Linked DNA regions of Xenopus tropicalis. The protein of the gene in region 1 purifies or fractionates together with the protein of each later gene. This does not show direct contact. Links are inferred from orthologs where the notes say so. Each region holds a gene or a part of one and is shown on either strand. Other genes may lie near its edges.

The links. Proteins that work in one complex are often made in the same cells at the same time.
Region 2: the proteins of ambra1 (region 1) and dcaf7 purify together in Homo sapiens (affinity purification with mass spectrometry; 3 studies listed by BioGRID and IntAct, with this or other methods). This does not show direct contact. The link is inferred for Xenopus tropicalis from reciprocal best matches to the Homo sapiens genes AMBRA1 and DCAF7.

Annotation. Positions count from the first base shown.
Region 1 is NC_030680.2:13,047,311-13,051,377, forward strand, and holds part of ambra1 (activating molecule in BECN1-regulated autophagy protein 1), read left to right. Parts: coding exon 1-1,227; intron 1,228-4,067. UniProt on the Homo sapiens protein: Substrate-recognition component of a DCX (DDB1-CUL4-X-box) E3 ubiquitin-protein ligase complex involved in cell cycle control and autophagy.
Region 2 is NC_030686.2:16,437,307-16,441,835, forward strand, and holds the start of dcaf7 (DDB1- and CUL4-associated factor 7), read right to left. Parts: upstream 2,954-4,529; 5' UTR 2,881-2,953; coding exon 2,743-2,880; intron 464-2,742; coding exon 305-463; intron 170-304; coding exon 58-169; intron 1-57. Other genes in the region: uncharacterized protein LOC116407961, read left to right, coding at 3,618-4,127. UniProt on the Homo sapiens protein: Involved in craniofacial development. Acts upstream of the EDN1 pathway and is required for formation of the upper jaw equivalent, the palatoquadrate. The activity required for EDN1 pathway function differs between the first and second arches.

The sequences.
Region 1 (4,067 bases):
AGAGCGATCCCCAGGAGTCAGTACTCCCTGCTGCCAAGACCCCAGTATGTTGTGCCTCTGTATCCGCTGCTCCAGTGCACGGCTGTCTTCTCCTCTCTTCCCACACCCAGAAGCACCAGGGGCTCCTTCTACCTCTTCAGGGGTTACTTCCACTTCTTTCTCCCCAGTGCAGACAGAACCCTCGCACTCCTTGGAACGGCAGCAGCAGCAGCACCAGTCCTCCGCTCAACACGATCATGGTCTTCTGAGCCGCCCTTCTGCCTTCAGCAGCGTGCACAGCAGCACAGCCGGCAACACACTGCGTAACCTGAGCCTGGGGCCTACCCGCCGGTCACTAACAGGGCAGCCTTCCCGCTATCAGCAACCATCCACTGATTTGGCTGGTTCTGAATGGACTCGCACTGTGCTGAGTATGGGACCTCGACCGGAGATGGAACCCATGCCGCCACCCAGGACGAGTGCCTCTTCTGTCAGCATCTTGTCTGTTCTGCGACAGCAGGAGGGAGAAACGTCCTCTTCTGTATACACCTCAGCAACAGAGGGGAGAGGATTCTCTAGCTCTGAGTCTGACAGCTCTGCCGCTCCACCACCTGTTCACCCCACAACCACTCGAACTGAACTTCAGTGTGACCTGAGACGCTTCTTCCTCGAGTATGACAGGCTTCATGAACTGGAGCCAGGAGCACCGGGAACAACACAGGGACAGACTCACGAGATGCTTAACAACAACTTAGAACCTGAGCAGCCTGGGCCATCTCATCAACCCCCACAAGCTCATTCAGGCGACAGCACCTCCAACCAGCCCCGTGGACACATTAATCGCTGCCGTGCGTGCCACAACCTGCTGACCTTCAACAACGACACACTGCGCTGGGAAAGGACACCCCCAACTTATCCGGAGACAGCAGGAACCTCTACTTGGCAGCCTCCACCCATTCCTCCCCCAAGCTCTTTCCAGGCCGGTCTCGCCGCTGGCAGCACAGATCATCCTGGAACGCCCAGGGTGGAGAGAGTGGACCTAGGAAGCATGGCAGCAAGCAGTAACCGTCTGGAAAATGGGACTACACAGGAGGAGAGAACAGTAGGCGTGGTGTATAACCCAGAGACTGGACACTGGGAACGTGTCTACAGCCAGCCAGCATCTGTTAGCAGAGCTCCGAATGTATCCCAAGAGGCCTTACCACAAGATCTGCAGGAGGAGAGCACAGAGGAGGATTCTCTCAGAAGGTAGGACGGGGGTTATGGGGCGGGACATTGCTAATTGTTTTTTATGTGAAATAATGGCCTTTGATGCTGGTGTCAACAATCCATTGTTAACTCCTTTCTTGAGACAAAACTAGTTCAGGATTGTCCACTCGAGGCCCATAAAGTGGCCATACATGTACCAATTACAGCCTTTCCTGGGACCATTGTGTTCAGGAAAGATTGTTCATTCCCACCACTGACGTTCAGGGCTGAATCGCCAGATGTGGATGTAGAAACAATAAGGATTCTACCTCCACCTGAGAATTCAGCCCTTAGCGCAGATTTTGCTCGGGAGCATCAAAATCTTTTGTCTTGCCTGATCGATGAGACAGCTGATATCTGAAGCTTTTGCAATATTGGTTGTCGAACCGCCATACATGCACCAAATATCGAGCAATAATATTGGTGCGTGCATTGCCAGCTTAAGCCAGGTGTGGCCCTCCAAGGGATTGTTATGGGCCACAGCAGCAAAGTTTTAGGTAACACTGATCTAGAATTAGATCCTAAGCTCCTAATTTACTTATATAAAAAGACAGTTCTTCTCTTTACCACATGGTGGCGCTGCAGGGTAGCAGTTTTCCATTTTGCACTGAATTAGCCATCTGTAGAGCAGGACCAGCCACTGACTCAAGGGGATTCCACTACAACACTCTGGAGAAGAGATTTTATCTAGGACATCTGAAATTTCTGCAAGGACGAGGAAACACGTTTCCCAGAAACGCAAGCTTTAGTCGCTGACCCCAAGCCCTGTAGCATGGCTATATCCGTGCAACCGTGGGTTGTACTATTTACATATAGGCTAGTATGTCCTCTTAACAAAAAAATATGGGGTTTTGGAAATGTATATGTTTCAACCCCTCCTTCTCCCAGAGACCCACGAGGAGGCCGCCCCACGGCATCATTTTGTGAAGCCATACATGGGGACCCATCTGTCAGTTGAATTACATGGTCTGCTGCCGTATGAAGTTGATCTGCAATTAGCAAATCCTGACGGTACCCCCCTTTGAAAGATATCACTTTAGACAGCTCATAATGCTGACTTTGTGCAGTCTGAATTAGCATGAGAATTCCGTTGATTAGATTATCTATGGAATTAATTAATCTGGGACAGTATTTACCCACGCTGCAAGATTTTCATTGCTACCTTTATTTAAAGGGATACTGTTCTTCTTCCAACCGAAGCAGAGCCGGCAATTAGCCCGGGACTGCTTTTGCAGCCTCGTTACAGAACGGCTGTTGTCAGGATCATTAAGTGAACCAGGCAGCAGCAACACGTGGGTAGTCCTAAAGGTGGCCATACACGGGCCGATTCTAGCTGCCGATATAGGTCCCTTAGACCGATTCGGCAGCTTATCGGCCCGTGTAAGGGCACTAATGACGGGCCTGCCTGACTGACATTTGGCCTGATATCGGGCAGATCTCGATCCTGCAGGTTTAAAAATCCGTCGAATCGGAGAGCGCATTGGCTTGTTGATGCAGTCCCCGACCTGACGGACACCTATACCTGTTGTTCTAATTCGATCTCTTGGCCGAATTAGCACGATATCGCCCACCCCTAGGCGGAGATATTGGGAGAAGATCCGCTCGCTTGGCGATCTCGCCAAAGGAGAAGATCTTAGCGTGTATGGCCACCTTAAGAGAGCGTGATATCTGACACCCCCCCCAAGCTTCTTCAACCAATCATCTAAAGGTGGCCATACAAGGGCAGATTTCGGCTTCTGCAGACCAGTTTGACAGCTTATCTGACAGTGTACAGGGACCCCGATGGGCCTACTCGTCCGATATCTGGCTTAAAATTGGCCAAATGCTGATTGGGCAGGTTTGATTTTTCTAGGGATGCACCAAATCCAGAATTTGGTGCAAGATTCGGCCCACAGAGGGGGCACCAAAATGGTAGGCACCCCCCAGTGACTGTAATTGCTTCCCTTATACCCCTTGTTGGTGCTCCTGTTAGGAGAAAACCTGGGTAGCTGCGAATGGGCGATCCTCTTGTTCCTGTCTTCTTTCTTCCCGATCCTGGGGCTGACATTTGCGAAATAGAGTGAAAATGGTGGCTTTTTTGTTTGGCTTTTTGTTTTGGCTACCCCGGGCTGGTGCGGTTTGCTCCTAACAGGAGCACCAGCCAAAGGTATAGGGTAAGTGATTACCATCACTGGGGGGGTGCCTAACGTTTTGCCCAATTATTGTACCTTTCCTTCTCCTTAAAAGCTCTTGCTGGTGTAGGGGACCGGACTGAAGACCTCACTCAGTGTTGGTCATTGGGGCTTGTTCAGATATTGCCGTTGGAAGCTGAGATATTCTATTGGGTGATTGCTACCGTAGCCAAATGCCTTCTGTTTGACACCGCGATGACTCACAAGGTTTAAATAAAATTAGAATGAAATCAAAGGCGAAGGATAGGGTAAGAATCCAACAGTGCAGCGTGAGCTCATATACATACATTCATATATCTTACCCTATAGCGGGGCTTCAGGCAACCTGTAGCACTCATACCGCAGAACTGCAGCTCTCAGCATCTTTCCTTTTGCTGATGCAGAGATATTAAGAGCTATTTTTGCAGCAGCTATCGTTCTGATGGTTCTTAACACCTGACTGATGTGTTTGATCTGTATATATCTTGGGGTATATATGGGACTTTGCGCTGTGCATCAGACAGGAGACTGAAAGAGAAGCCACGTGTGCATGGTTCAGTGTGTGTGACCCTTGCTACAAGTAATTGGCTCTTAAAGGGCACCTATCACAAAAATTCAGATATCTGATCTCAAATTAATCTTAAGGCTATTGGAAAGGCCAATAAACAGCTTACTTGGTTTGGCGGGGCC
Region 2 (4,529 bases), on another chromosome or scaffold:
CCTTGGATCTACAAGGAACAGAGAACTGTGAAAAAGCAGGCCTTGCTTGTTCCTTACCCAGCAGGTTGGGGTCTACTTCATTCCAATCAAATGAGGTGAGGGGGGCACAGAAATCAGAGTTCTTGTTGTTGTTTAGCAAACACTCCAGACGGGTCTCCGTCTCTCCAACCTTTGATAAAGAGAGAAACAGAATAAGCAACATGACACTTATCAACACTCTAATCTCAAGCGCTAATACTCTGTTGGGTGCCATTATCAATCATTATTCATATTTTGGGCTTGTAGTCGCTGCCTTCGTACTTACCCTCCAGACACGGAGGTAATCCCCGCTGGTGGCTAACAGATCTGGATATACTCCTTTAGTGTCGGGGATCCACATAAGCTTTGTTGTAGGATACGGGTGATCAAATGTGTTTCGGCAAATGAATTCAGAGCTCTCTTCATCCAGTCCTACTAGCTGTACCTAAAAAAAGAAAAAAAAAAAAGAAAGAAAAATCAATTCCTGAATGAAAGATTGGTTAATACAGTGAAATGGTACAAATTAAACCACTCACGTGCAGGACCTGAGCCACTCCTACTTCCTAGCATTACCATTCATACAGCAAACATTTCTGTACAGATATCACCTAAATTTGTGGGATCACCAAACTAGTGGGCTTTTGCTTGATGTGGCCACTCACATGCTTGGCTAAATTGGATTTATTTGATCGTTTGGCCAAACAATTGGACCTGTGGCAACCCATCGGGAGAGGGCCTTATCAACATAACTACACAGCCCTCGCATGACTTCACTTCCTAAAGTGATACTAACAGCAGCAAAAACGCCAAACCTGGAAGCTAGAGATATAAAAATGTTTTAAAACCTCAACAAAACATAAAATGAAGAGTTATCGCCACTTGTCTAAGAATGCAGCTGTCTTAACCATACCCTAAGTTGATAATTAGGTGAAATACACTTAATTTGCGTATTATAAAAGGCTTGGTGTTTATTAACTATGCAATATCCCCCCCCCCCCCCCCCCTACAATACAAAGGAGATAATTTATGTATATGGTATTAAGCTCCTAAAGTCACGGCTGCCAGCAGGGTGGGTACAAAGGTTATTGACCCAGGGGCCCAAGAGATTTGATTGTACAATTCGGGGGGTCAGAGCTTGTGGGTGAGAAGGTGGGTTGGTTGAATTGTGGGTGGGTTTACAGTATTAAGGTGGGACGCAACTGGAGCTGAATCTGGAATGTGCCAATAATCAGGGTGTGTTCATGTTTCCAGGGGCCCCATTTTACTTCTACCTGGAGGGGGGAGGTCCCTGCTATTTAAGGTGGCCACACACGTGACCCGCCACTAAAGGTGGCCATACACGTGGCGATCTGACGATGTTTCGTACGACCATCGGTCGCACGAAACATCGTAAGATCCGCCACACACCATTCAGGGCTGAATCGGCAGGTAAGGAGGTAGAAACAATAGGATTTCTACCTCCTTCTGCCGATTCAGCTCTGAAAGGAGAATTTTGGTCAGGCGCCTTCTATGGCGCCCGATCAAAATTTTCAAACTGGTCCGATCGGCGAGTCGTCCGATATCAGCAGCTTCCTGCGATATCGGTCGACTCGCCGACATGCCATACATGCACCGATTATCGTACGAAACGAGGTTTCGTACGATAATATCGGTGCGTGTATGGCCACCTTAACCGTTCAGGGCTGAAAAGGCAGATAAGGAGGTAGAAACAATAGGATTTCTACCTCCTTCTGCCGATTCAGCCCTGACGTCAGATTTTGCTCAGGCGCCTTCTATGGTGCCCGATCAAAATCTTTTGACCTGGCCGATCGGCGAGTCGACCGATATCAGGAGCCTCCTGCGATACCGGTCGACTCGCCGACTTGCCATACACACACCGAATATCGTACGAAACGAGGTTTCATACAATATTATCGGTGCGTGTATGGCCAGCTTTAGAGGTATGGGGCTCAGGGATTCCTCATTGCAGCCCTGTCTGAAGACAAATGCAGTTTATACAAGCGGAAGCTAACACTGGGCATACACTGATACAAACTACCAACACAGCCCCACCAGACCAAGTCTCGTGTATGGGCCCCACCAACACCTGGCATCTATTTGCCAAACATTTAGTCAGTCATCTATTGGGCACTCCAGAAAAAAAACCATCAGAAGGGGAGCACATTGGATAGATCTACATTTTCATAATCTAATCTTTGTTCCAGGGGCCACAGCGGCAGAGGTTGTCAGACATTTTTAGACCACTGCCCCCCTCCTTCACCAGAAATAATTTATCCCTAAGTCCTGATGTGATTGGCCTTTAAAACTTCATCTCTCAATTGGATTTGGGCCCCAGTTTAAAATCCTACTCTAAAGCAAAACACACAGTCTGTACATGAGTCAGGTCACTGTACACTTACATAGCAATGTATTTATAAGCAGATTGTGTGAGGGTTTTTAAATGACCCTTTAATAGATCTAAATGACAGTTTACTGCTGTAATCTTTATATAATATATATATTATATATATATATATATATATATATATATATATATATACATACACACACACACCAAGCAGATTGAATTCATGTTATATGTGTATCATCTGGATACAACCCACACAGCTGTAACACAGAACTATCCACATTCACTGAGCATTCTGGGAGATGTAGTGCAACTCTACCCAGTTGAAGGAGGGAAGGATAGTTAACCCTTTACACTAAGCGCATACTTCTAGGCACCTTATTGTTATATTCCTCAACAAAGCTCCCCAACGCCAAGCGGAACCTCTTGTCCGGCCTCACACTCCAGTTCATAGCATAGACGGTCCATGGCGCCTCGTACTTATAAATCTCCTTCCTTTTCCCGTGCAGGGACATGGCTGGAGCTGCTTTGCTAACACGGTTACCGGGACACGATCGCCGAAGCCTTTTAGAAGCAGATACGCAGGCGCTTGCTCTCGGCCGCCTCTTATTGGTGCCAAACTACAAGCCAACCAGAACGTCCCCAGAAACAAAACAACGCTCACAGTACAGCGCCGATGATTGGCTCTTTCCAACCCCTTCTCACGCTTTGATTTGTTACTGCTGCAAAAAGGGGAGGGCTTTTCTAACCGAAGAGCTGATTGGGTTATGCCGCTTGTCTAGACTTCATTTCCTGTATGTCTGGTTTCCTGCGCTTTCTGATTGGTGTATAGCAGTCAACATCCTGCAGTAGAGAGAGGCGTGGAACGCAAAGAGTCGCGGTTTATTTTACAGAAACATTCTATTGAACGTACTCCGGATTCTATATTTCAGGTAGTTATCACGTTTTTTTTCTTATACATTTTGGTTGCCTGTAAAAACCTTGGTTTTTGGTCTCTTTTCCTAGTTACAAAAAAACAAGTTCCAGACGACCCGTTGCATAGAAGTTTAGTGTATTTGTGCAGACCTTTATAGTGACTTACATGTATATACAGCTGTATATGTTTTTTTACAAGATTGTGACTACTATGGTTTTCCTGAGCAGGAGTCAGATATAAGTCGCTGTTCTCAATCTATAACTTTAGGCCCTGCAATCTGTCGTTTTTTCAGGATCCAAGTCTGATATCCGCGACATACGCTTGTGGAAGTGCGTCATGCCTCGAACAAAAGAGATTTCTGAACACCTCCGCCAAACTGTTATTGATGCTCACCAGGCTGGGAAAGGCTACAAAACTATTTCTAAAGAGTTGGAACTCCACCGCTCCACTGTCAGGCATATTGTGCACAAATGGAGGCAATTCCATACCGTTGTTTCCCGCCCCAGGAGTGGACGGCCAACAAAGATCACACCAAAAGCAAGACAAGTAATACTCCAGGAAATCGTAAAGGACCCAGGGCTAACATCTAAGGAACTAAAGGCCTCTCTTGCATTGGCCAATGTCAATGTTCATGACTCCACCATCAGGAGAACACTGACCAACATTCGTATGCATGGCTGCGTTGCAAAGAGAAAGAAGCTACCACCCAAAAGGAACATTGTTCCCTGTCTACAATTTGCCGAAAACCATGTGGATACGTCAGAAGTCTGTTGGAAGAGAGTTCTGAGGGCGGATGAGACCAAAAGAAAGCAATTCAAATTCCTTGAAGCTGAAGTGCAGGAATAATGAACAGTTACCCGAAGGGTTTAGTACAGGGGTGGGCAAACTACGGCCCGCGGGCCACATCCGGCCCCTTTGCCTTTTTAATCCGGCCCGCCGACGACGCCAAGTCTCATCACGCGAGACTTGGTGTCATTGGCGTGCCGGAATTAAAGAGACAAAGGGGGCCCGCCCTGGCCCGGTCCGGCCCGGGGGTGAATAAATGTGGCCCGTGAGCCAAAAAGTTTGCTCACCCCTGGTTTAGTAGAAGTAATTGCTGCCCGATAGAGGGCTATATGTATATGCAGCACTGTATGATTTTGCAAAATATTTTTTTTAAGAGCATAAGTTGTACATAAATGTCTTTTTTATACTCTGCAACCTAAAGATATTTAAAGGAGACATATCCTATAAAAATTATGAATACTT